7 linked regions of the Xenopus tropicalis genome follow. The protein of the gene in region 2 interacts with the protein of the main gene of each other region in a pairwise test. Links are inferred from orthologs where the notes say so. Each region holds a gene or a part of one and is shown on either strand. Other genes may lie near its edges.

The links.
Region 1: the proteins of trim37 (region 2) and fam124b interact in a two-hybrid assay, tested with the Homo sapiens proteins (2 studies listed by BioGRID and IntAct). The link is inferred for Xenopus tropicalis from reciprocal best matches to the Homo sapiens genes TRIM37 and FAM124B.
Region 3: the proteins of trim37 (region 2) and fam107a interact in binary tests that used the Homo sapiens proteins (3 or more experiments, as listed by UniProt). The two-hybrid records come from large-scale screens. The link is inferred for Xenopus tropicalis from reciprocal best matches to the Homo sapiens genes TRIM37 and FAM107A.
Region 4: the proteins of trim37 (region 2) and cwf19l2 interact in binary tests that used the Homo sapiens proteins (3 or more experiments, as listed by UniProt). The two-hybrid records come from large-scale screens. The link is inferred for Xenopus tropicalis from reciprocal best matches to the Homo sapiens genes TRIM37 and CWF19L2.
Region 5: the proteins of trim37 (region 2) and prc1 interact in binary tests that used the Homo sapiens proteins (3 or more experiments, as listed by UniProt). The link is inferred for Xenopus tropicalis from reciprocal best matches to the Homo sapiens genes TRIM37 and PRC1.
Region 6: the proteins of trim37 (region 2) and pnkp interact in binary tests that used the Homo sapiens proteins (3 or more experiments, as listed by UniProt). The two-hybrid records come from large-scale screens. The link is inferred for Xenopus tropicalis from reciprocal best matches to the Homo sapiens genes TRIM37 and PNKP.
Region 7: the proteins of trim37 (region 2) and copb1 interact in binary tests that used the Homo sapiens proteins (3 or more experiments, as listed by UniProt). The two-hybrid records come from large-scale screens. The link is inferred for Xenopus tropicalis from reciprocal best matches to the Homo sapiens genes TRIM37 and COPB1.

The regions. Positions count from the first base shown.
Region 1 is NC_030681.2:123,829,070-123,833,092, reverse strand, and holds the start of fam124b (protein FAM124B), read right to left. Parts: upstream 2,801-4,023; 5' UTR 2,644-2,800; intron 1,369-2,643; 5' UTR 1,288-1,368; intron 419-1,287; 5' UTR 409-418; coding exon 1-408.
Region 2 is NC_030678.2:95,237,447-95,241,395, reverse strand, and holds the start of trim37 (E3 ubiquitin-protein ligase TRIM37), read right to left. Parts: upstream 2,801-3,949; 5' UTR 2,636-2,800; coding exon of another isoform or gene 2,498-2,635; coding exon 2,477-2,497; intron 1-2,476. UniProt on the Homo sapiens protein: E3 ubiquitin-protein ligase required to prevent centriole reduplication. Probably acts by ubiquitinating positive regulators of centriole reduplication.
Region 3 is NC_030680.2:147,931,170-147,935,392, reverse strand, and holds the start of fam107a (protein FAM107A), read right to left. Parts: upstream 2,801-4,223; 5' UTR 2,628-2,800; intron 1-2,627. UniProt on the Homo sapiens protein: Stress-inducible actin-binding protein that plays a role in synaptic and cognitive functions by modulating actin filamentous (F-actin) dynamics. Mediates polymerization of globular actin to F-actin. Also binds to, stabilizes and bundles F-actin.
Region 4 is NC_030678.2:160,240,233-160,243,732, forward strand, and holds part of cwf19l2 (CWF19-like protein 2), read left to right. Parts: coding exon 1-35; intron 36-696; coding exon 697-852; intron 853-2,706; coding exon 2,707-2,787; intron 2,788-3,500.
Region 5 is NC_030679.2:108,141,106-108,144,605, reverse strand, and holds part of prc1 (protein regulator of cytokinesis 1), read left to right. Parts: intron 1-303; coding exon 304-399; intron 400-509; coding exon 510-656; intron 657-1,382; coding exon 1,383-1,496; intron 1,497-2,760; coding exon 2,761-2,868; intron 2,869-3,325; coding exon 3,326-3,500. UniProt on the Homo sapiens protein: Key regulator of cytokinesis that cross-links antiparrallel microtubules at an average distance of 35 nM. Essential for controlling the spatiotemporal formation of the midzone and successful cytokinesis.
Region 6 is NC_030683.2:117,566,168-117,570,394, forward strand, and holds the start of pnkp (bifunctional polynucleotide phosphatase/kinase), read right to left. Parts: upstream 2,801-4,227; coding exon 2,674-2,800; intron 2,241-2,673; coding exon 2,194-2,240; intron 1,925-2,193; coding exon 1,379-1,924; intron 701-1,378; coding exon 621-700; intron 338-620; coding exon 280-337; intron 1-279. UniProt on the Homo sapiens protein: Plays a key role in the repair of DNA damage, functioning as part of both the non-homologous end-joining (NHEJ) and base excision repair (BER) pathways.
Region 7 is NC_030680.2:3,437,592-3,441,091, forward strand, and holds part of copb1 (coatomer subunit beta), read left to right. Parts: intron 1-2,264; 5' UTR 2,265-2,320; coding exon 2,321-2,411; intron 2,412-3,229; coding exon 3,230-3,459; intron 3,460-3,500. UniProt on the Homo sapiens protein: The coatomer is a cytosolic protein complex that binds to dilysine motifs and reversibly associates with Golgi non-clathrin-coated vesicles, which further mediate biosynthetic protein transport from the ER, via the Golgi up to the trans Golgi network.

The sequences.
Region 1 (4,023 bases), on a different chromosome or scaffold from region 2:
AATTTCTGTGCCATAATGGACATGTCTCATTTCCCACACAGGCATGTGGGAATCAAGACTATAATAATCACAAAGCGGCAGTTTAAAGGGGCAGGATCTTCCTTGCTGGAAGTCTGCGATAACATGAGTCCATGGAGGTAGCTGGAAAAAACTTTGCAGGAGATCAATCCTTTCCTCTCCCAAGTCCTCACGCAGGAAGAGTGTCACTGATATCCCTGGGAATTCAGGCCTTTTCGTTTGGCACTCATACAGCTTAATGGGAGCAGCCCGTTCCGACACAAGAAACAACCGGACATCTGGACATATCCTGTGGAGAAGACGGTCAACTGCAAGTTGAAAGGCAAGCGAATCACCCGAGCTGGCAAGAAGATGAACAGTGAGAGGCAAAACTGTTTGTCTTTCATCCATTTAAATGTTCCTGAGTTAAAAAAAAACAGAGAAAGTATTTAATTATAAAGCACAAACATATTCTGCAGCCCTATACAAACGGAAGGGTGTTACATACAAATACTGACTGCTGCAGGAGGTAAATGCACCAATTAATACATGTAAAAAAGTGGCATGTTTTAGACCTCCTGTTGCATGTCAGGATATGCATGGTATGAGCCAACTGAAAACACTGACTCAAAATGTGGAGCTCTATGTTTCCTATAGGCTTGAGTGGTCTCCTCCCTTAGTACATAATACATACCATACAGATCATAGCCCTCCATTTGATCTACACTTATAGTTTGTAAACCCATTTGTTAATTTAGAAATTAAAGTATTGCTGCATGTATATTACTATTTAAGAAATGATCACAGTTATTTATATCAATAACTCCTAGGCTGATATCAATGTGCCTTATATTTTTCTCCTGTGCACAGATGTATAAAATGGGTGGAGTATATAAAATTTCCTCTGCATGCAAAGAAGGTATATTCAATAAATAAATATTGCTTTCATACTTCTAGATAAAGTTCTCGAGAGCTGCAAGTGGTCCTTAGGGACAGGTTTTAAAAATGTACATATCATTTTTCCTTTTTACAGACTACCTTGTCTTATGTGTCTCCAAGTGACTGGTAAAAACAGAAACACTCTTATCCATAGTTCTACTTCTACATGGCCTGGTGCAATGTCAGCCTGCCTTGCAACACACACCCAACCATCACCATGCACACCCCCGGATGTCACTCACTGGCTTCCTTACATCCTACCTGCCAGTCACTCCCCTTCCACCAGTCGCCAACAATGCTCAGCCTGCACCCCCCACAATCACACCCTAAGAATGTGCCTATCCTTCCTACCGCTAGTTCTGGCCTTGAGTCGACCATCTTGTTCTTGGGTCATGTTGGAGTTCTTGGAGCCTTATGCTTTGGATCACTATCCTGCAGAAAGATGAACTGTCACTTTAGTTTATTAGCAGAATGAAACAGGTTCAGTTTTTTGCAGTAGCCATTGTTTCTTCTTTTCTTTCAAAATGTCCAGTCCCTGCTAGCAAAAAAGCATCCCCACATCATGATGAGACCACTATTACAGCTAAAGGTGGCTCTAAAAAATAATAAAGAATGGGGATTTAATATCTGCACAAACTCATCAACTCAATGCACTTATAAATGGAAAATCAGCCTTTCCGGAAAATGTTTCTACTTGTTCAGGAAAAGTCCTCTTCCTTTGATTGTATGCTGTACGCGACTGACTAAATCTGTGTCTACACCCATCAGTAAATGTGAACTTCAGAGCATTTCAAAATGTAAAAGATTTACTAAATGATGATAGTTTTTTTTTCCTGGAGAAAAACAAGTATAATTCCCAGTTCTGAGGTATCTGGCTAAAACATTATTTCTTGGTACTACAAAAAAAGGGATGGTGGGGTTTGAATAATACATATTAAAGATTAGCCATAAGAAGGTGCTGTTTTACTAGAGTCCCTAACTGTCTGCTCACAATCTTCCAAAAAAGCAGATAGTTCTAAAAATTAACATATTTTCATTGCATTAACTATTTATTGCTGCTGCCCTGGAATAAAACTGTTGATCTGATCATACAAACAATCACAATGATCACAGAATTTCTTCATAAGGTTTTGAATTCTGCTTCTCATCTCCACATCTACTTTAATACGGCTGCCTGTAGCTTTAATTGCAAGTCTGAACTGTAGTCTGGGGAGATTGGCTTGAGTAAATAATACCACCCGTTCTTTTGTTGTTATGAGATCCCAAAGTGGCAGTGTATTACTAGAGAAGGGAAATGTTTTGTACCGTATTAGCCAGTCTAAAAAATTCTAGGTAAAACTGTGCTGCTGTCCAATGACTGACAGTTGCCATCTATATATGAACAAATTATATAAACTGCATCAGTGACACTGTGAACCCTAAAATCAGTTACTGTTTAGGAGGATGGATGTCCAGACTGCGTAGTATAAACTTTAACTCCCATAACCCACCGTATAAACACAGGGAGTGCTGAGGCTAGAGATTCTGCATTAGCATACAATTCTCTATATTTAGATTAGTTTACAAGTAAGTTTCATAACTGGAAATAGGGTGAATTGCTTAAGCATAAAAAGCCCACAGATGTTAAGCATACACAATCTTGCCTATTCCCCAGATTTTGACTGTTCTTGTTGGGAAACTTAGAGCCTGATGTAAATCTTTACTAACCTGCTCTGTGTGATGGCTGGCTGCTGGCTGCTGCTTGAAGAGGAACGTTTCTGTGCTGCTGTACTTGTACTCAGAAGGAGAATGAATGCCCTGACCTTTTCTCAGTACTACTTCTCCTGGGAAGAAGCCCACCATTTCCAGCAGCAACTAAAGCAGAGTCTGAGCAATTGTGAGATAGTAATTTATGGCATGGGCTGCCACACTGTTCTTCCCTCCCACTCATCTACACTATAAAGGATTCACAATAGAGTTGAAGACTTGGTAACATTTTAGGAAAATCTTTTGTTTCTCTGTAACACTGGCTTAACTAGAAGTTACTTGCACCCCCTTTCCCACTAAACTTTGGTAATACATAAAATCTTCATAAACTTATACTGAAACTGCTTTTCAATCAGAGCCCCGCTGGGCCCTCTACCATCCTGGTCCCCAGCAGTTGCAAGGTCTGCTTCCCCTTTACACTATCCTTGTGTGTAACAGCCCTAACAAAAAAAAAGTATGTTTGTTACAAATATATATATAGTCCTTTGCACTTTGTGCCTTTATATGCCTGTCTATGTCAGCTGCATTAATGTGGAAAAGGTGCTCCAATTTGTAATACTTTGTTCTAATGCAAAGCCAGTGATTCTGCCCCCCCCCCCCAGTGATTGTAATTGCTAACATTATACCACAGGCTGGTGCTCTTGCTCACCGAAAAACTGCACCGGCACGTGGTACAGCCATGCTATCATCTTTTTCTCTATTCTTGATCTCCCCTTTCACACACAAATAAAATTAGAAGCAAAAAGCTTTTCATTCTACTGCACATATGTACCCTGGCTGGGGCTGCTCATGATGAGATGCTCTTACAGAAGTCCCCTGGGCAGGTGCAGTTTCACCAAACATTAGCACTAACCCAGGGGCTCAGGTATTTATTATCACTTGGGGTGTCTAACATTTTGCACCCCCTGTGATTATACCTTACCTTCTCCTTTTAACAACAGATTGGGTAGCATCTTGCAAACAGTACTGATGTTAGTAGCTAGTACTTGAATACAGATCCTTCAGATAAGAGCACAAAAAGAACAATGATACACAGGAGCACTTACCACACAGCCCAAGTGTGCTACATGTAGACCCGCTCCCAGATGGGTCCTGGAAATAGAATATAAAGAAAAAATATATAGCGGAGCACCATGAGGATAAAAATAAAAATCAGTCTTTATTCCATCAACAGTAAAAGGCACATGTACATCCCAATGGATGTACCTTTTACTGTTGATGGAATAAAGACTGATTTTTATTTTTATCCTCGTGGTGCTCCGCTATATATTTTTTCTTCAGATAAGAGGGCTGATTTGTTACAGTTCAATCTGGGGAATCCAGAAGGATTCTTTGCAAGCA
Region 2 (3,949 bases):
AACATTAAATAACCCAATAGGATTGTTTTGCCTCTAATAAGTATTAATTATATCTTAGTTGGGATCAAGTACAAGGTACTGTTTTGTTATTACAGAGAAAAATGAAATATTTTGTAAAAATCTGAATTATTTCCTTAAAATGGAGTCTATGGTAGATGGCCTTTTCCGTAATTCGGAACTTTCTGGTTAATGGGTCCCATACTTGCACTTGACCTGCTACACAGAGAAAATCAATATCAGTGTTAAACCTATCAACTGCAGTGGCAGTGAAATTCTTAACAGCAGCCAATTCTACTGCAGATGAAAGAATATGATTATGTGCTGGTAGCTGGCTGCTACCACCAGGAATGGCATTCTAGTATACCCTTTAGGGAATGCAGATGGTCTTTCTGTTGCAATAATTAGAGAAATAAAACTGCAACAGACTCCCAACATTTCTGAATTTACTCTACTTTGCTTGAGCACAGCCCAGACCAGCTGTTGACCTGGGGTCTGAGTTAATCATTACTACCCCAGGGATTACCCATTTTTTCCCTTTAAAATGTACTTAATTTTTACATGCTTCTGTTGGGTTAGCATAATGGCTAATGTTTGACTGTGATAACATGTAATTATTGGAGCATCTGATTTAGGTTTTCACAAGTGTTTACAGGTGTCCAAGCATTAGGCAAAACAAAGTCATTCCTATTATGACAGGTTTACACAGGCTAACTATAAAGAAAAATGTTGCTGTTCAGTATTAACCAAACTTTAATAAATAAAATTTTGGAACAAGCTTTAACACTCATGTAAAGTCATCACACTTTTTGCTACTCACTCCCATACACCAAATGACAAAATGTAATTACAACAAATATTCTTGTGAAGATAACGTTTGTAATGATATGTCTGGACAGGTATTAAAGAAAATAAGCAAATAAAACCAACCATTCAATTCAAGAGGAAGTCACGGACTGATTTTAACAAAAAATATACACAAAAATAGGAGGAGTCCACTACCACAATAAAGTTGGTCATACAAAGGCAGATTAGTTTGTTTGGGGACCATGCCAGTATACAGAATCTTTACCAATTTTAGTTGGCCAATATAAACTGATGTGGCCCAATGATAAGATCACACAGGGGACATCTTGAACCTTTTGGGAGTAGAGCACACCCACATTCTGATGTGCCCTCATAACAGATTTTTTCAATCAGTAATAAGCTAAGGAAACCATAGTTTTGACCCCATATACATACCATTAATATGCACACAAAGGCATAACAGACTCACCAGTCAATACTAAACTTTGTATGGTCAACATTACCAAATGTGAAAAGCAGAATTTTTGGGGTCTTAAGAGTTTCCCTGGCATTTAGTTATGACCATACTGAATTGTATGTGTTTAAAAATGTGCTGTGTAACTATAATGGGACAAAGTTTGTATGTAAAGCCCAGTTCAAAACACAAATAAGACAATATATAACACTGAGGAACAGTCCTGTCCAACTTGCCCTGGTGTAGATGACAAGGAAATATATAAGATGACAGAGCCATGCACATCAAGACCAAAAAAAATAAAAAATTGTTATTTCACTTACCCTAAATTAAATTTTTTCCTCATTTTACACTTTGAGGTCCCACTAATATAAAATGTATAATGCATTTGGCTGATTTTACACCATTTTACCTGGACAATGTAAAATGGGGGTTTTACAGTGTTTGGGCAGGGCATGCACGTTACATGCGGAACTGGAAGTAGTATACAATGCACATGGGTTAAACTGAAAGCTCCATACTGAATAATAGGAGAGAAGGTAACATTTTTAAACAAGCACACAGGATTTCTGGTTTCCAACGGTGTTCTATTTTTTTTATACCATTTTAGGAAACGGAGCTCTTAATGATGAGATACATTATAGTGAAACCTCAATCTGACATACCCTGATTTGAAGTTGTCCCTCATTTTACACTGGGATTTTTTCCTTTTTTCTTCTTGTGTGGTCCCCCCAATATATATATAATACATTTCCCTGAATGTACACCAAACACATAAAACAGGGGTTCTACTCTATTTGCAATTATTATATGAATAACTAAATTTGGTACCCCACTTGATTTTTTGATAAAATGTATCTAAGTATGTTACTTGCATGAAGAATTTTGAGAATTTTTGAAGTGATACATTTTACACTTACAAGTGTATTTGCTTATATGGAGGATCTTTTTCAGGGGCCCAACCTTATTTTTGGGACCATGGAGACAGACACCTTCTAATCTTAATATCCCTCCTGAATACTAAATTAAGAGCAATAATAAACTTCAGCATCTAATATAAAAATAGCCCCAAAACCAGGGTACAAAACCCCACTCACAATTGTTAAATGCAATTGACAGATATTTTGGAAGAAGGACACACCAAAATGTATAGGGTGGTCTGGTAACCCTACATATGTGACAATTCTGATTGCCAGAGCTCTCCCCCTCCTCTCTCACCTCCACGCTTTGCTCATCCATCTCCTCCAGTTTGGGCTCTTTGATCTTGCAGTAGTGCAGGGATTTCTTCCTGGACCTGAAGTAGGTCAGGTACCTGACGGTGCTGCACAGACAAGTCAGAAAATGATCAGTAAAACGCCCCCTTTCAGCTGCAGACATGCAGCAGCCGGGAGAGTGAAGGGAGACGAGGGGGGCAGATGGACACAAAGACTAGCGGTCAGACCGCGGCTGAACATTCAAGACAACTTATGCCTGTATTAAATTAAAATAGGAAGGTAATTAACAGCAGTCATTTATAACACTGGAACCAGCAGCCGCCATCTTTATTCGGGGCTTGTTACTCAGAAACCAGCGACGCCGCACTGAAAAGATGGGGAGGGAGGCGGTGACAACTACGTCACTGCGCTCGGAGCTGCACGGAAACGTCAAGTCTCGCAGCCAATCAGCAATTCTCATTTATGTTCACGTCTATTTCTCACTACCTTCCATTTAGTTGGCGGGTTAGGATGTCAGTGATTGGTAAATGCGTCGATAAAAAAGAGCAAAATAGTATAAATACTTTGAAAAACATACAGTACGTGGCCCAGTAGTTTAGACTACTAGGATTTTTAAGTGTGTTTCGTATTTGTTAATAAATTGCCTATTGGATTGCACTGAAACCATGGCAGAATTTTAGACCAGATAGAATTAGGACGAAATGCTGTTTAGATCGAATAGCTTCTATATTTTCTTTTTAAGCTTGTGTCTACAAAACAAAATCCACTTTGTCATCACACTGCTTGCTACAAAACAGTTGCTGCAAAATACAGCCACATAGATGAGGTGATGCTTATTACATAAAGCTGGCCATGCAGAGGCAGCCTAAGCTGCAAATTCAGACCCACAGACCGAGTTGGCAACATATTTACCTATATATTGGCCACCCCTGAGTGCCTCCCATGTGCCACGTCTGCCATAAGTAAAGGTGAGATGAGAACCTTGCCTCAGAGCAGTACGTTGCATGTTACCAGGGGGAAAATTGCGTGGGGGAGTAAGGGTAGGGTTTCCAGTGAGCAGTGATGTACAAGGTCTGGACAGTGTCTTAAATAAACTGGGGGTGGCCTGCTATGATTAACTACAAAGGAAAGGTAAAATTGGTTTGAATAAGGTTTTAAGTGTGCAGGCCAGGGGCACAAGTAAATAGTATTCCAAGTGAGAGGATCAGGCCAATGTGGACCAGAATAAAGGTGGTAAAATCACGCTAGAGTTGTCACCTTTTTTGTAATTGGCCTTCGGGTGGGGGGACTAGGAGGTGATGTTACACGGGGTGGTGAAATGAGTGGGGCATAGGCAGGACAATCCTTCAAAGGGGGAATGCAGCAGCAGAGTGGGTCAGGGATGGGAGGGATTAGTAGTGTATTACAAACCCCAAAGTCTTAAGATGGCCATACACATTAAGACTGCCAAATTAATTTATCTTCACCCGATTTAGGG
Region 3 (4,223 bases), on a different chromosome or scaffold from region 2:
AGCCTGAAGGCCAGTTAGGGGGATTTGGGGTGAGTGCCCTATCTATGTGCCTGTGTATGAGCTGCTGCCCTGTACAAGTTGCCCCATGGCTCACACACAACTTGCCCAGTAGAATAACAAGCCAGCCCATAATCACAGCAAACAGACAGGGTCGCGGGATATAAACACGCCATGTAGCGCAGTACAATGATACCCCTGAGCCGTGGGAATTCTATACGGGGTTAGAAATTCTCTGATCCAGGAATTGCCTCTCAGACTCGGCCAAATCCCCAGGATTTTCAGCAAAATCCGGTTTCAGACGGTCGAATGCGGCTTTTCTTGTGAGTTCCCTGAACACCTGAGTCTCAAAGTCACCAGCCACGGGCGCTACAAAGTCACCCAAACCCCCCCATGCAGTGCCCAAGGTGGTGGCTCACAGGGGATTATGGGAGATGGTGGCATAGGTTATTTAACTTTATAATACTAAATTCCACAGTCAGACTCAGACTAATCCCACTTAAATTCCCCCTAATCACTGCATAACAGAGACCACTGCTACGGATTGTAATAATAATAACCCCCCCCCCCCCCCCAAATCGTGTCACTATCACTATTGATCCCTAGGGCAAAGGTTAATGCTGGGGAGGGGCAGATAGAGATCACTAACCCCCCCCCTATAAACCCCCTTGTGAATCCTACCCCCCAGGTAACAGGCTGTGGGTCTGACCCTGTATGTAAGGCTCAAAATTAAAAGTTTAAAGGGGAAGTAAACCCCAAAATAAAATAATGCCCAATGAAAGAAAAAGTTGTTGGGATTATGGCCTCTTTAAACTGTCAAAACTGGAACATGATGGAGAGAGTAATATTCTGAGACAGTTTGCAATTGGTCTTCATTTTTTATTATTTGTAGTTTTTTTTTTTTTACAGTTTTTGTTCAGCATCTCTGCTGTTTGGAGTTTCAGCAGCTATTTGGTTGCTAGGATGCAAATTACCTTAGCAACCAGGGTGTGGTTTGAATAAAAGACTGATATATAAATAGGAGGAAACTTGAATAGAAAAAAAAAAAATAATAATACTAAAAAGCAGCAATAATTAAACTGTAGTTTCACAAAGCAATTGTTTCTGGCTGTGACCCCCTGTTTGACAGCTGACAGAAGGTAAATCATTCAAAAACTATAAATAATAAATAACGAAGACCAATTGCTTAGAGCTGGACATTCTAGAACATACTAAAAGTTAACTTAAATACCAGAATACAAATCTAGTTTTAAACCTGCTGCTATAAGGTTGCTAGGGCTCAGGCACCCTAGCAACCAGGTAGAAGTCTTCATAAATTAAAACACTATGACAAAAAAAGAACATATGAAACTTTGTTTCCACTATTTCCCTCTGGAAAGTACAGTGAATCCCTAAGGCGCCATACGTAGAACCCCCATATTGGGATCGGCGCCCCGCGGAGAGGGTACGAGATGCAACACCATACGGCTCCTTTCTACTGTCCCAATTCATGACTAAGTGGACTACATTTCCCATCATCTATTGCACAGCGCTGCGGAATATGCGGGCACTTTATACACTTATTATTAATAATAAATCTCCTACAGAAGAGTCTCCTCACCCAGAATACAATATCAGCGTGTGAATTAGCCACTGTGACCCCACGTATTGGGGAAATTCTGCAGGATACATGATATATATATATGTCTATTTGTTGCAATAAATGGACTTCTTTGCTGCAGAGACACATTTCCCTGTGATGGCGAGTGACCCGGAGAGAGGGGGGGGGGGGTTAGTAAATATGCCCCAGGTCTATAGGGAGAATTAATCCCCCGGCTGTATAATCCGGATACGTACAGGTGGTTTCTGTGACAACTCATAAGATCCAGCCGATGCCGCACAGTAAGGAGAATCTATTGCTGATGACAGGGCAGTTACATAAACACCTCCAGCAGTGGGGCAGGGAGACATTCTGCCACATGGAACCACTTACAGGGGGGCAACTAATCCAGCAGTGGTGCCTAGTGACTGTACAGAGGGAAGTAAAAGCAGGTCTCATTGGCTGCTGTTGTACTACAACTCCCAGCATCCCCTGACAGCTAAAAAGATCTATATTACAACAGCTGAACAGCCAGAACTCCAGGGCCACTCACACTAAACTGACTGGGTAGATAGATAGATAGATAGATAGATAGATAGATAGATAGATAGATAGATAGACAGATATAGATAGATAGATGATAGATAGATAGATAGATAGATAGATAGATAGATAGATAGATAGATAGATAGATAGATATGGATAGATAGATAGACAGACAGATATAGATAGATAGATGATAAATAGATAGATAGATAGATAGATAGATAGACAGATATAGATAGATAGAGAGATGATAGATAGATAGATGATTGATAGATTAAATGAGAGATAGGTGGAATCACAGCCCTACAGTAGTTTCTCTATGGAAGCCAGTGACTTGCCCCAGGGAGGGGTACTTACAGCTGAGGGTAGGTGCCAGGGTGCGTGTAAAGGCACAGGTGGCAGATGGAGGGCACAGGGGGTACAGAGCAATGCAGTTCCCTTGCCCAGAGGAGCCCCCCCCCCCCCCGCACTAATCTCAGCCCGTAACTCCCAGGCACCCACTTACCGGACTTAACCAGCATGGCTCTGTGCATTCCGCTAGCGGGGGCGTCCGGCACCCTCACCCGATCGAACCAGGATCTCTGGGACTGCATGCCGGCCGGCTGGGTAGGTATGTAGCTGGGTATGTAGGTGGGTAGGTAACTGGATAGGTGGGTGGCTGTTACCGCTGCGCTGAGAGTACCGCTCCCGGCTCGGCCATTGGCACCGACTGCAGCGCCTTCCCCCCCCCGCCCGAGCTTTTCAGTCAGAGCAGCATCACGTGATACGAGAGAACTCCCCCCCCCCCTCCCCTCCGTGCGGCTCCCTCTCCCATTCCCCTCTCCGTGTGTCCGTCTGAGGGCCCCACACTGCCACCTCTGTCCCCTGCACTAACCTCATAGGTCCCCACACTGCCACCTCTGTCCCCTGCACTAACCTCATAGGTCCCCACACTGCCACCTCTGTGCCCTGCACTAACCTCATAGGGCCCCACACTGCCACCTCTGTCCCCTGCACTAACCTCATAGGTCCCCACACTGCCACCTCTGTCCCCTGCACTAACCTCATAGGTCCCCACACTGCCACCTCTGTGCCCTGCACTAACCTCATAGGGACCCACACTGCCACCTCTGTCCCCTGCACTAACCTCATAGGGCCCCACACTGCCACCTCTGTCCCCTGCACTAACCTCATAGGGGCCCACACTGCCACCTCTGTCCCCTGCACTAACCTCATAGGGGCCCACACTGCCACCTCTGTCCCCTGCACTAACCTCATAGGGCCCCACACTGCCACCTCTGTCCCCTGCACTAACCTCATAGGGGCCCACACTGCCACCTCTGTCCCCTGCACTAACCTCATAGGGGCCCACACTGCCACCTCTGTCCCCTGCACTAACCTCATAGGGCCCCACACTGCCACCTCTGTCCCCTGCACTAACCTCATAGGGCCCCACACTGCCACCTCTGTCCCCTGCACTAACCTCATAGGGACCCACACTGCCACCTCTGTCCCCTGCACTAACCTCATAGGGGCCCACACTGCCACCTCTGTCCCCTGCACTAACCTCATAGGGACCCACACTGCCACCTCTGTCCCCTGCACTAACCTCATAGGGCCCCACACTGCCACCTCTGTCCCCTGCACTAACCTCATAGGGACCCACACTGCCACCTCTGTGCCCTGCACTAACCTCATAGGGCCCCCACTGCCACCTCTGTCCCCTGCACTAACCTCATAGGGGCCCCACTGCCACCTCTGTCCCCTGCACTAACCTCATAGGGGCCCACACTGCCACCTCTGTCCCCTGCACTAACCTCATAGGGGCCTACACTGCCACCTCTGTCCCCTGCACTAACCTCATAGGGGCCCACACTGCCACCTCTGTCCCCTGCACTAACCTCATAGGGGCCCCACTGCCACCTCTGTCCCCTGCACTAACCTCATAGGGACCCACACTGCCACCTCTGTCCCCTGCACTAACCTCATAGGGACCCACACTGCCACCTCTGTCCCTGCACTAACCTCATAGGGGCCCACACTGCCACCTCTGTCCCCTGCACTAACCTCATAGGGGCCCACACTGCCACCTCTGTCCCCTGCACTAACCTCATAGGGACCC
Region 4 (3,500 bases), about 65 Mb from region 2:
CTCTGCTGGATGAAGACATCTATAATGAAATCCAGGTGCTTTTAATAGCGATTCTATATATATATTACTTGTCATGTTAGCGACCTGATTCCATGGATAACACAGCTCATTGCCAGCAGTAACCATACAGTGGCAGTGGAGTGCTTTGAAATATGGGGGATAAAGGAGAAGGCTGCATTATAGTTTAATGGTGTAGATCAATAAATTGAGCAGACTAGAGATGCCTGTAGCTTAAGGTAAGGCTGGGGATGGGTAAGACAGGTGCTATTTAAGCAGTATGCCGCTTTCTAGGTCATACAGATGTATCTGCTGCTTCTTCACCATTTCATATTTATTCAGAAAATACAGAGGTTGTACGATTCTTACATCTGAGGGGCACTGCTATTTGACAATAGTGCTCAAGTTCAAAAGTATGGCAGTTAAAACACCAGCTTGTAACTTACCCCCTTACCAGTTGCATAAACATTCCATAAGCAGAAACAGCACAGTTCCATCACATTAAATATGCTGACGTTTTACATGGTAGATCCCATTTCTAATAAGCAACAAGAACCAATATATTAACCTAATTTCCGGAAGATAAATGAAAACGTGCAGTTGACTTTTATATAAATAAAGGCATATCTGGTTGTTTATGTTCTAAAAGTAAACCTTGTTATTGCTAAAAGAGCAAGTGGCTGCTTCGTCTCTCTCTAGGTGTTCCGGAAAGCCTTGGTCAGGATGTTTGAATCTAAAGGTCTGGACTGTGTCTTCTTGGAGTCAAACATATATGCAAGAAAACGGTTGCATTTGGTCTATGAGTGCATTCCTCTCCCAAAGGAAGTGGGTGATATGGCACCAATATATTTTAAGGTAAATTATCAACTTGCATTCAATTATTAGGAGCAATAGACGGATATAAAGAACCTCAGGTTTATAAAGAAATGAGCCACAGTGCCATGGGAACTAGTGAAGAAAGGTAATAGGGAATTTTTCCCAAAGTAGCCAGATTAAGGGGGTAGTTATGTAAAACAGCATAATAAGATCTAGATATAAGGGTTTGTCATTGTCCCGTCTAATATTGCTTTCTGGGAATGTGGGCATGATAATTGCAAGCTCATTCATTTCATCTGCAGCCAGATGGTGACAGAAGTTGCCAAACTTTAAAGCTGTGTGGTATTCACTCTCTACAACAGTGACAAGCTCTTGCAGATAAAGAGCAAATAGCAACCTGTAGCTATTCTGAATTTCTGAACAACTACTAGCTATTAAAGGAGAAGGAAAATCAGTTTGGCATTTTACTGCCAATAGATTTGCCACATTAGTGCTACTATATTTATTCTGCAGAAACCTTTACCATACCTGAGTAAACAGCCCTAGAAGCTTTCTCTGTTTGTTTAGGAGAGCAGCTGCCATTTTAGCTCAGTTTCCGTAACTGTAGCTGCTGCAGCTCTAGGGGTTGGTAGCTCAGATCACATATTCCTAAGGGAGGGGGAAGCAGGAGAGGGAAGAGAGCAGACTCTGGCCCCAGGAACGAAGGATTTTTCTGAGAGAGGAAATCAGATACCCTAAGAACATGTTTACAAAAAAGTAGACAAGAAATCCTGTGTTTCTTTTGATAGAGGACTCAGTGCAGCATTTCTGTGAGTGCTTATGGCTGTATTTACATAGACCTTTCCAATAAAGCTTACCGTACTTAGTTTTTCCCTTTCTTTCTCCTTTAAATGATACAAACGAGTCATGAGTGAATAGAATAGTTTGTATATAAAGTATGACTCCAGGGGTAGATTTTACATAAGACAGGTGGCACTTCAGTTTATGGTCAGTTGCTGGATGACCCCCCATCCTCAAAAAATGGTGGTGACTTGAGTTGAAATCCTATGCCCAAGCCACATGTGCCTCTTGGAAGCAAAGGAAAGATGGCACTATGCTCTACAGGCCAGTAAGTGATTATGGAAGAGTCAGATAAAGTCTAATTAATGTCACTTACTTACAACAGAAAACTTCTGTAAAATTCACAGGCTACTGGATTATCAGAATCGACCTTTCCAACCTTTACTACTGTACCTTGTCCAACTGTATCTTGGAATAACTAAACTCTGAAAATGAGCCAACGTGTTTCATTCTGGGATCAATAAATTGCCATGACCAATGAGAAATGGCAACAAACTGCACTGTTTGGTCTCCTTACTTGTATTTTTCTCTAAAAAATCAAATGTTCATTAGGAAAAAAATGAACCAAATGAGACTACAAACCCAATCAATGGAATAAGAGTTTGGAGTAACAGTTTAATGGCCACTTTACCTTGACCAGTTTAATACATTGTGTTGTTTCATTCATTTGACTGTTAAGCTCACAGAAACATGTTCCCTTCACACCAGCTACAAACCCATTATAAGAGATTTATGGGCAGATATTGGAGTCACAAATCAGCGGCAGTGTATCCGTCAGCCAACCTACGATGAATTGCAAATTTACTTTAAATGGAGTGTCGTCAATATATCAGATGTTTTTAATGGTTTATACTTTCCAGTTTCGTTGAACATTTGGCTGATAGAGCCGGGTATCACATACATAACGCCCGAAGGTTTCCATGTTACCATCCAGCCGTACATTTAGCCCATTTAGTGAATTCTGGTTCCTTTCAGAAAGGGCTTATTTGCTGATTTTTTATTCCATCTCCCATGTTAACCAATGTATTCATGCGTTTATTTTCATTAAACCAGAAAGCCATAATGGAATCTGATGAGGAGTGGTCCATGAATAAGAAATTAATAGACCTGTCTACAAAGGATATTCGAAGAGCTGTAAGTTTAAAAAAGTCTAAACATTTTACTATCCAAGAGCTGCCATCCCTCTATATTTCCCATCTTTGTCCTCATTATCACATTGAGACATTTCTATGTGATTCTCTTGAAATGAGCACACTCATACTTCTGTTATATGGTGTAATATGGAGGCTGGAGTCTGTTAGAATGTTACATATTCATGTTTTCAAGACAAGGGAGATCAAGATTTATATGGCTTTTTATGGCAGATTTCCAAAAGTATTTAAAAATATGAAACAATAACCATAGTATTGGCTATAAATCAATTGAAGGGTTATGAAACTGAGCAAAAATCAGAGCTTCAATGCAAATCCACAGGCTAAATTGGAAATACATGTATTCCCTTTGTGTTTCCATTGGGGGAGAACCCAAGCATACATAGGCATTTTACTGTTCTGACTAATGATGATGATTTATCTGCTTATATGTTCCAATACGTCTGCTTCTCAGAGCCCAATGTTACACAACAGAGTTTCCTATCATTGCCTGGCTGTAATTATATCTGGCATAATCCACTTTAGAATGTAGCTTAATCTGCATGTATCTAGTGTTTAATCCCCCGCTGATTTCTGTGTGATCGGAACATAGAAATTGGATTTATTTTTTCACTTGAGCTCAGACTTTAAGAGGTCACCAGAGATAATTCTGGATATCCTTGGAATTGGGGTCATAGCCATAAACTGGCTGGGGAT
Region 5 (3,500 bases), on a different chromosome or scaffold from region 2:
TTAAGATCAACAGCTCTTTGTGAAGGCCCAGAGGGTCAGTAACTCTTAAAGGAGAACCAAAGTTTAACAAAGAAGAAGGGTAGAAATCTTGCATCAGTACAGTTAGAATCCAGATATTTTTAATCAGCCCTGTAGCATCATCTTATGTCACAGACTAAAGGTGGCCATACAAGGAGTGGGCTTGTACAAATGTGCATACTTCAGAGTCTGTACATGAGTAAAAGTTCACTCATATGATATGCGAATGTCCTATTTTCTCCTATCACAATTATATAAATTATTCCGCTTCATTCCCCCCAACAGAAAAAAGCTACAGACCCTAATAGGTTCACAAATCGAGGGGGCAATCTGCTGAAAGAAGAAAAGCAAAGGGCAAAACTGCAGAAGATGCTTCCAAAGGTATGCTGTTTGCCAGGCGCATACACTAAACCTCTAGTGATATTATCTTCTCCTTGTTAAGTACTTTCATAAACATTTCTAATGTTTCTAATGTCTTGCCTGTTTTGTAGTTGGAAGAAGAGCTGAAAACGAGTATTATTGCATGGGAGCAAGAACAGGGACAGGAATTCTTTGTAAATGAGAAAAAATTTATGGACTATGTTGCAGAACAATGGGAGACTTTTCATCAGGATAAAGAGAGGGAGAAACAAGAACGGGTAGGATTAAAAGGCAGCCCTACGAAATACATTTCACTGTGGAGCTGCAGAGTTTTGTCTCTGAGGCCAGTTCTATGCAACAAGCCAAGCCACTGATACCATGTAAGCTGGGCTGAAACATCTTAGGCTCTGTGCTGTTAAACCACCCAATATTATATTAGGGCAGTCTAACACTTCTGTGCTCAGTCTGGCAGAACCACAGTGTTGTCCTGTGCCCTTTCTAAAATTGTGAAGCTATCATACACATAGGGGCAGATTTACTAATCCACGAATCCGAATCCCGAAAGGGAAAAAATCGTATTGGAAACAAACATTTTCGTCGCCGCTGCCGCAATTTTTTCATATTGAGCGATAGTAAACGGAAAAACCAATCCGATTTTTTCGCGACTAAAAAGTTGCGGAAAATATATGAAAAAGTCGCAACGGCGATGAACAAATTGCGGGACATATGAAAAAGTTGCGACGGCGACGAAAAAAATCGCAGAAAATACTGATCATTGCGAAAAAAACGTATTTGGACGCCTTCGGACCGTTCGTGGATTAGTAAATCTGCCCCATAGACTTTATGTCCATAAGCTAAAAGTTAAGGCTGAATGTGTGATTGACATCATACTATGTATCCATCCCAAACATATTGGAGGGATTCATTTACCACTGTTACTTTGGTATTTGTCTTCCCTTAGCATATGTGTTATTTAGAATTTTTATACATTCCTGTTATTATAGCTAATGAAGAAGAATCGGCAGCTTGAGGAGGAAATGTATTATGGCAGTGCACCAAAAACCCCTAATAAGAGGCGAGTGCCTGGACCCAGTACACCTAGTAGTAAATGTAGAAAGGTATGTATTTGGTTTTGTTTTTTTGTTTTTTTTTTAATGTTCTTAAATGATTTGCATACTGTCTGCAGTGAGATGTAAGAAACGAAATGAAAATTAAAAGGTTGCATGATATGGAACAAAGCAGTTCGCTATTTAAATTTTATTTGAGGAGCCAAGTTTTACGAAAATGTTGTATCTTTACTCAGATCACACAATCCAGACCATAGGTCATAAATGTACATTTTTTCATGCTCATCTGATCATTAAAGTGCCAATAACACAAGTGAAATTATTTATGTACATTTATAGATTACATCTGTCTGAAAATGAAATATTTTCTAGCAGCAACAGCACTTTTTATAAGGGGAGTTCTTCCTGTAGACCTGATGAAAGCTTTGAATAACACATGACCACTGTTCATAACGCATTTGTATTTTGAGCAGTTTCTCTGGCATACTTCTGCCCTGCAAGGCTCATAACAATTGTGCAAAAATCTATATTTTTTGGATTTGACCTAATTGCGAACCAAATCTGTGGGAACAAATGTGAAATTTTAGAATTTGGATTGGGTTCAAATAAAACCAAGGTTTTGATAGAATTCAAATTTTATAAATTGTTAGAATGTGATCTAAAACTGAATTCAGTGCATCCCTACTTAGTTATATTTTTAGGAAATGCAGTTTAATCTTTGTACTAAAAAGGCTAAACATCTCTTTATCACGTAAACTCTAAAACATTGTCTTTTTTCTGTAATACTATGCTGTCTTACTTTAGATACAAATAATAATCAGAATATGGTCTTAGAAGTCAACATAGCAGCATTTTTTATAACCGTTGAAGTGATTAACACCATTTAAGCCTGAGTAAGAAATTTACTAAAACAAGGGAAATATCATAACTTTCTTTTCAGTATTTTAAATAAAAAGGTATTTTACTCCTTGCATGGCTTGGAGCTGGGGTTACTCAGCAGGCAACATATTCATTACAACGAATACACTGCATACATGACAGTGAAAAAACTCTATCCATAGATAAGCATGACTGGAAATTGTTGATAGTATTTCCAATTGCTAGTTGGTTTGGCTTGCATGCTAGACAAGCAAAATATTTGTTTTACTGATATTTTTTGTTTTCCCTACCTTTATCTCTGTGCATGAATGATATTAACTAAGCATTGTTAATGTTTTAAAGTACTACTTTGTATCTTGCTTGAAAGCCACTGAAGTGCATGTGCATACCCTGGCATTAACTAATAAATATTAACATTACCTGCTTTTCCCGGCAGCTTAATGGCACCTCCATCTCCAGTTCCTCCAACAGCACTCTGCGCTCTGCATTCAGTGGGACGATGTGCCACTCTCCTGTATCTCGTCCACCCGTGTGTGGTGGCAAGGTTAGTTAATTCACTAGACTGTGCTTTTGTAAATTTTTATTTCTCCCAAGCAATTTTATTTACATCTGATTTGAGTTCTGTTTACTGCACAATGTAAGTGCACAAACATTTGTAGATGTTCATTTGGCTCAAATGCAGATAGAATGTCTGTTTTGTTTTTTTTTTCCCCCTTTAATGTATGCATGTTGTATTCGATTTTAGGAGCGTTGCATGTTATGGGTAAAAAGTGCTAAGCTTTCTGTATACCCATATCCAAAGCTGGAAATAAGGATGTCCAACTGGAGATTCAGGGGTCATAAATGGATGCAAATCTGCCCAAGGCCTCCATAGTTCCTTATACTGGATAATTATTTTATCATTTTCAGACAATCAATCACTAGATATGTTGTTGACTAGGTGGAATACTGATCAGCATATAGTTTGTTCAATATTTTTTTTTTTTTCTTTCTCTAATCAGCCCGGATTACCATCACGAACTCCAACCAGAGTGTTCAAAACCCCACAGCCAAAGCGGCTAGAGAAGAACAAAGAGAATATGTCCCAGTTGAATGGAACCGCCATGAGCGGTGGGTGCTACCTCACAATTCCTGCTCAACGTAACATCAGCGTTAACTCTGTTGCAAGCACCTATT
Region 6 (4,227 bases), on a different chromosome or scaffold from region 2:
AGAGGGACAATTTCTAGCAGGGCATCATGCTGGCGACAAAATACCGGGATTCACCCCATTGCCTTTTTGTTTATGTTTTGGAGCTAGGGAATAAAGGAGTTAACTTACATGTGCTGTGTCCAGGAACAGTTTCCTATGCATGGCCACTGAGCACTTGCTTAGAAATGATTTCTACTGGTGCTGAGAACATTTTCATGCAGAACTCTGATTAAATAGCATGGCAATGTCACACACTATGCCAGGAATTATAAATCCCACATAAAATTCCAGAAGACATACCTTGTAGCCATTGGCTAGAAGCTCTTTTAACTTCCTGGGAACCTCTGGATATAAAATTCTGTGAGATCAAGAGAAACATAATTATACACTGTGCACTGGTGCAAACAATAAAATTTGCCATATTACTTGCTGGTGAAAGTGAATGCTAAACAGTTTCCAGGCTCCCAAAAGCTACATTAAATTCACGCAAAGGAAATTTTGTTCGCATAAAGGCATACATTTTGTGCCCTGTGATTATTTTTTCCATAGTGCCTTTAATTACTTCCCCCCATAAAAGTGTTAAAAGGTTTTAGACTTAAATGCCGAGATAAAATGAACGCTTTTATTTCCTTTTAACTTACTTCCAATCATCAGCGTTTACAGGGAAGACTCTTCCTGACTTTGTTGTTATAATTGTCCCGTCAATATCAAACCCAGCAATCTGCAAGATGAACAAGTTAGTGATTTATAGCTGCTTTGTACATTGTATGCTCTGAGTGCAACTCATTGGCTTACAGACTGCAATAAAGATTTGTTTAGAAGCTACCGTGCTAAAGCTGGTTATACACTTAAGGGTGAAGGGTGACCCGGCCTAACATGCAGTTCTTGAGGGTAAAGACACACGGAGCTACTAGTAGCAGCTACTAATCATAGCTAGTAAATGCCAGAATATACCGTGCCATAGACAATACTGAGAATTGCCTTTGCTAAAACACATGTAGAGACATTTATCAGTAAACCATCAGCATTGTCTGTTTTAGTAGCCGTGATAAGTTGATGCTACTAGTACCCTAAAGAACTGCATGTTTGGCCAGATCTTTGCATGATTTTGTCACCCACTCACTGGGCCTAATTAAGCTGATATAATTTTTGGTTTACGAGACCTGGGTGAGAAAAGTATGGTAAGGAATGTATCAACATGGCAATGTGGTGCTGATCGGATGGGCTTCTCAAACCAGCCTGATAGATACTTATCCCGTATATCAAGAGGCCCCATACATGTACGAATAAGTGGTCTTGATTTGGAGGGGCCAAGCTGGCAGCTATTATTGACACATGCAGGCCAGCTTAAGACCTATATATGCCCTTAAACCCAACAGAAAACTAATGGATTTAATACCTTAGAACTGGCCTGAACCCCTTTCTTGTTAAAGAGAAGAAGCTTCCCATGTTCTTCCCAGGAATCTTTGCTACAGGCAACTCCTCTCTCATCAGTTGAAGAAACCTGAGATGGGTTCTCGCTTGGCTTAGCTTTAGCCGCCGTTTCCTGCAAGTGAGACAGTTTGCGTGCTATTTCCTCCTCTTCTGAGTCATCCCACTCTTCTCCAGCCTCAGCTTTTGGGTCCTGGTACTTTGGCTTCTTGTTGCTTGATCCAGTGGAAGTGTTATCGTGCTGTATGCGCCTCTTTCCTTTGGATGTGGAGGCCCCAAAGAAATCTGTTATTGTCTTCTTGGATGATGTGGAAGGGGGTTCAGTTATGGTGTTCTTTGGTGATTTCTTATTGATTTTTCCAGTGTCAGCAGCAGGTTTAGGACTATCTTCCTTAAACATTACAGTATATGGATGTAGCCTATTCACCAAAAAAAGCGTCTGATCTTCTTTCATTAAAATGCTCTCTCCCTTCTTCAGCACTGCTTCTCCAACTGAGCAAGGGTTTGCACCCAACTATAAGTAAAAACATGAAGTCAGGTTAATTACACTCACTAAAACATAGTCTATAAACATACAACAAATGTCATTAGTGCCAGATTCTGGATAAGGACATACATGGTCATTGGTCAAAGACACACAAATAATTAAGTCACCCGGGATACATGCTCTAGTCAAAGTGTTGCATTTGATTGGTTGCTTCAGATAGTGATAAAGTAGTTACACTGAAATAAGCTGTATAGAGCTTCAATTATCAGTCATCTCCAATACAGTAGGTATCTTACCTGGGTTACATGGACTGCTCTGTTCTCCAGATTAGCCACAAGTTCCACTGGAAAAGAGCATTTTTTAAAATGTTTATTTTTTATTCATAAAACCACTTTTTTCACAAGGATGTTGAAGGTGCTACAAGTGTTCCAGTCCCACAGGTCAAGAGTAGATTCCCTACTACTTACTGTACTTTGTTGAGGCATTTGTGCCCTGGGTGATGCTTTGGTGGATACCAAGGAAAAGGAACCCTCCATAGCCATAAGGTAAAGGAATGCCCCTGCTCTACCATTAAGCCAGACCTTCCCTCACACTGTGATGAAGGAGGGTCTGAAGACAATTACCTCTGCAATGCCTTTGTACTGAGGGATAAAAGGGCCCTTTCCTTTCTAAAGAAAAGCCTTTTAGGCACCTGAGGTTAATCTCTGCTACCGCGGGTGACTAATCTCCCCGAAAACCCTTTCCACCAGCAATATATTTTTTACATGGGTCCCTACCTTGAGTCTTAGAACACTTCCTGTCTGTTACAAGGGTTTCTGGTCCTCTTCCTAAAGTGACCCCTTTACCATCAGGAAGGGCAATGGGACTGTGCTTTGCATCAACGCTTCTCAAGTAACACTTCATTTCCACGGATTCTGTGAAATTATAATTAGGATTATAGGGTGCAAAAATACACAGTCAACAGAGTGAACAGGGCCCTCTTGTCAATCACTGTAAGCCTTTCATTGACATATTTAGTATCATCATGTCTCTCACCTCCCCATCTACCCTCATCTTCCAAAATACAGTGCATTTGGATAGGGCCATGCTAGGCATTGTATTCACTTGTTTGGCCCCAGCTTCAAATAACCAGCAATGAACTTTACATTTAGGGACTTTATCAGGACTAAATACTATTGTGTTTAGCAGAGACATCAGCTAGCTCCATTTCTTCAGGGCAATAATCTAACCCTGCCATTTGTCCCTTGACAAGCCACAGCTAAACTGTTACTATCATGCTACAACTCCCAGTAGAATGTGAGTTACACAGGACTATCTCAGATGGGCCTTTTCTGTAGGATTGGAAAAGGCGAAAACTTGGGCAGCCAGTGGTTCTTAAAAAACACTTAACTGTTTATTAGCCTGAGCCTATCCTCTTGAGTACCTATGTCGATGGTGAGACACATTACAACTTTAAAAACTTAAAAATGGCTATGATGACCCTTCTTTCCTGCTTTTTGGGAAAACACACTCATAGGGAGCAATGTGGGCTATCTCTAACATTTTGATCCCACACATGCATAGCCGACATATCTGCTTTTATCAATAATAAGGTCATTATCACAATGCACATCAGACTTGCAACCAACTGCACCTACTGGCTGGCACTGGACCTGAGCTGCCATGTAGCAGAGGATATGGCTTAAACTGGCCATACACAAGTGATAAAGGCTCTGACTCTACCCCTTCTGGTTAAGTCGGCAGCTTATTGGCCTGAATATGGCATCCCCCAATCAGGCTGCTGACTGATATTTCCTTGAAAAGTGGCCACACATCTTCTCAGAAGCATTGGCCCACAATGAGAGCTGTATTGATACACATGTATGACCAGCTTAGCTCTGCTACTAAGTACTGCATATACCTAGCAACCTAAGGAAACAAGCCAGGCATGGAAATGCTTACATATAAAGTACAGATCAGCTTTATTGCTTTATAGATATGGGGACCTTTGGCACACCTGCCTCACATCCCGGGCTTATGTCCTTAATACACATGTTGAACTAAAAACCCCAGCATGGCTGTGTGGCACTTCTCACGTGTATCAGTCCTGCTTGATTTGGCAGCCCAACACCACAATTATGTATAATGTCAATAAAGTATATTTTTCCCACTAAAAATTTAAATATATAACTTTGTTTATAAAGCTCTGAACTCTTTTTTGTAACATAAAAAAGTCGCTTTTCTTGGTTCCCCCCACTTTCCAGCCCTGTGTTACCCTTTATCTACCAACTACATTATATTTTCCATTGCAGCCTCATGTTGGCTCCAACCTTGGAAAACTAAAATCGGGA
Region 7 (3,500 bases), on a different chromosome or scaffold from region 2:
CAGAACCCACAGCGGGATAAATACAGTGCCAATTCCATGTATAATACCCCAGAACCCACAGCAGGATAAATACAGTGCCAATTCCATGTATAATACCCCAGAACCCACAGCAGATAAATACAGTGCCAATTCCATGTATAATACCCCAGAACCCACAGCAGGATAAATACAGTGCCAATTCCATGTATAATACCCCAGAACCCACAGCGGGATAAATACAGTGCCAATTCCATGTATAATACCCCAGAACCCACAGCAGGATAAATACAGTGCCAATTCCATGTATAATACCCCAGAACCCACAGCAGATAAATACAGTGCCAATTCCATGTATAATACCCCAGAACCCACAGCAGGATAAATACAGTGCCAATTCCATGTATAATACCCCAGAACCCACAGCGGGATAAATACAGTGCCAATTCCATGTATAATACCCCAGAACCCACAGCGGGATAAATACAGTGCCAATTCCATGTATAATACCCCAGAACCCACAGCAGATAAATACAGTGCCAATTCCATGTATAATACCCCAGAACCCACAGCAGATAAATACAGTGCCAATTCCATGTATAATACCCCAGAACCCACAGCGGGATAAATACAGTGCCAATTCCATGTATAATACCCCAGAACCCACAGCGGGATAAATACAGTGCCAATTCCATGTATAATACCCCAGAACCCACAGCAGGATAAATACAGTGCCAATTCCATGTATAATACCCCAGAACCCACAGCAGGATAAATACAATGCCAATTCCATGTATAATACCCCAGAACCCACAGCAGGATAAATACAGTGCCAATTCCATGTATAATACCCCAGAACCCACAGCAGGATAAATACAGTGCCAATTCCATGTATAATACCCCAGAACCCACAGCAGATAAATACAGTGCCAATTCCATGTATAATACCCCAGAACCCACAGCAGGATAAATACAGTGCCAATTCCATGTATAATACCCAGAACCCACAGCAGGATAAATACAGTGCCAATTCCATGTATAATACCCCAGAACCCACAGCAGGATAAATACAGTGCCAATTCCATGTATAATACCCCAGAACCCACAGCAGATAAATACAGTGCCAATTCCATGTATAATACCCCAGAACCCACAGCGGGATAAATACAGTGCCAATTCCATGTATAATACCCCAGAACCCACAGCAGATAAATACAATGCCAATTCCATGTATAATACCCCAGAACCCACAGCAGGATAAATACAGTGCCAATTCCATGTATAATACCCCAGAACCCACAGCAGGATAAATACAGTGCCAATTCCATGTATAATACCCCAGAACCCACAGCGGGATAAATACAGTGCCAATTCCATGTATAATACCCCAGAACCCACAGCGGGATAAATACAGTGCCAATTCCATGTATAATACCCCAGAACCCACAGCGGGATAAATACAGTGCCAATTCCATGTATAATACCCCAGAACCCACAGCAGGATAAATACAGTGCCAATTCCATGTATAATACCCCAGAACCCACAGCAGATAAATACAGTGCCAATTCCATGTATAATACCCCAGAACCCACAGCAGATAAATACAGTGCCAATTCCATGTATAATACCCCAGAACCCACAGCAGGATAAATACAGTGCCAATTCCATGTATAATACCCCCAGAACCCACAGCAGGATAAATACAGTGCCAATTCCATGTATAATACCCCCAGAACCCACAGCAGGATAAATACAGTGCCAATTCCATGTATAATACCCCAGAACCCACAGCAGATAAATACAGTGCCAATTCCATGTATAATACCCCAGAACCCACAGCAGGATAAATACAGTGCCAATTCCATGTATAATACCCCAGAACCCACAGCAGATAAATACAGTGCCAATTCCATGTATAATACCCCAGAACCCACAGCAGGATAAATACAGTGCCAATTCCATGTATAATACCCCAGAACCCACAGCAGATAAATACAGTGCCAATTCCATGTATAATACCCCAGAACCCACAGCAGATAAATACAGTGCCAATTCCATGTATAATACCCCAGAACCCACAGCAGATAAATACAGTGCCAATTCCATGTATAATACCCCAGAACCCACAGCAGGATAAATACAGTGCCAATTCCATGTATAATACCCCAGAACCCACAGCAGGATAAATACAGTGCCAATTCCATGTATAATACCCCAGAACCCACAGCAGGATAAATACAGCGCCAGTTTTTCTTTATTTGTAATGTTTTTTTCATTTCTCCTCCAGGGCCGCCTCCTCATTTTATACAGCAGCGAATCAGAAGGCTGAACTGCCCCGGCACCATGACTGCAGCCGAGAATGTGTGTTACACTCTCATTAACGTTCCAATGGACTCGGAACCTCCATCCGAAATTACTCTGAAGGCGGACTTGGGTGAGGCCCCTCCCAACTCCCCTCCTTACTGTGCATTAGTACCTAAAGGGGTTGTTTACCTTTGAATTAACTTTTAGAACGATGTAGAGGGTGCTATTCTGAGACAATTTGCAATTGGTCTTCATTTTTTTTTTTATTTCCGGGAGTTTATTAATTTTACTTTTTGTTCTGCAGCTCTCTCTAGTTTGGAATTTCAGCAGTTTTCTGGTTGCTATGGTCCAATTTACCTTAGTAACCAGAGAGTGACTGATATATAAATAGGAGAGGGGCTGAATAGAAAGATAAAGTAATAAAAATTAACCATAAAATTGTAGCCTCACAGAGCAATATTTCTTTGGTCAAATTCCAAGCAACTTTTCAATTGGTCTTCATTATATATTTTTAATAATTTTTGAATTATTTGCACCTTTTTTCCTTTTTTTTTTTTTTTTTTTTTTTTTTGCAGCTTTCAAATGGGGGTCACTGACCCCGGCAGCCAAACCCTATTGCTCTGTGAGGCTCCAGTTTTATTATTATTGTTACTTTATGTTATTTATTTTGCTATTCAGTCCCTCTCCTATTTATATATCAGTTTTTCAGTCAAGCGTCTCCATGGTTGCTAAGGTAATATGGATCCTAGCAACCAGAGAGCTGCTGAACAAAAACAGAAATAATTAAAAAACTACAGATAATAAAAAATGAAGACCAATTGCAAATTATCTAAGAATATTATACTCTACATCATACTAAAGGTTAAGAGCAGGGTTTCCCAATGCATCACTGGATACGGGGGGGTACACGTGAGTAATTCTCTATTCCCCCCCCCCCCCCCCCTGCAGAGAAAGGAGATGTGAAATCCAAGACGGAGGCCCTGAAGAAAGTGATCATCATGATCCTAAATGGAGAGAAGCTGCCGGGGCTGCTGATGACCATCATACGGTTTGTGCTGCCGCTGCAGGATCACACCATCAAGAAGCTGCTCTTGGTCTTCTGGGAGATTGTGCCCAAGACCACGCCCGACGGGAAACTCTTGCAGGAGATGATCCTCGTGTGCGACGCCTACAGGAAGGTGAGAGGGGCGTGGCTTTAGCGGTGGTGGGTGACTCCCAT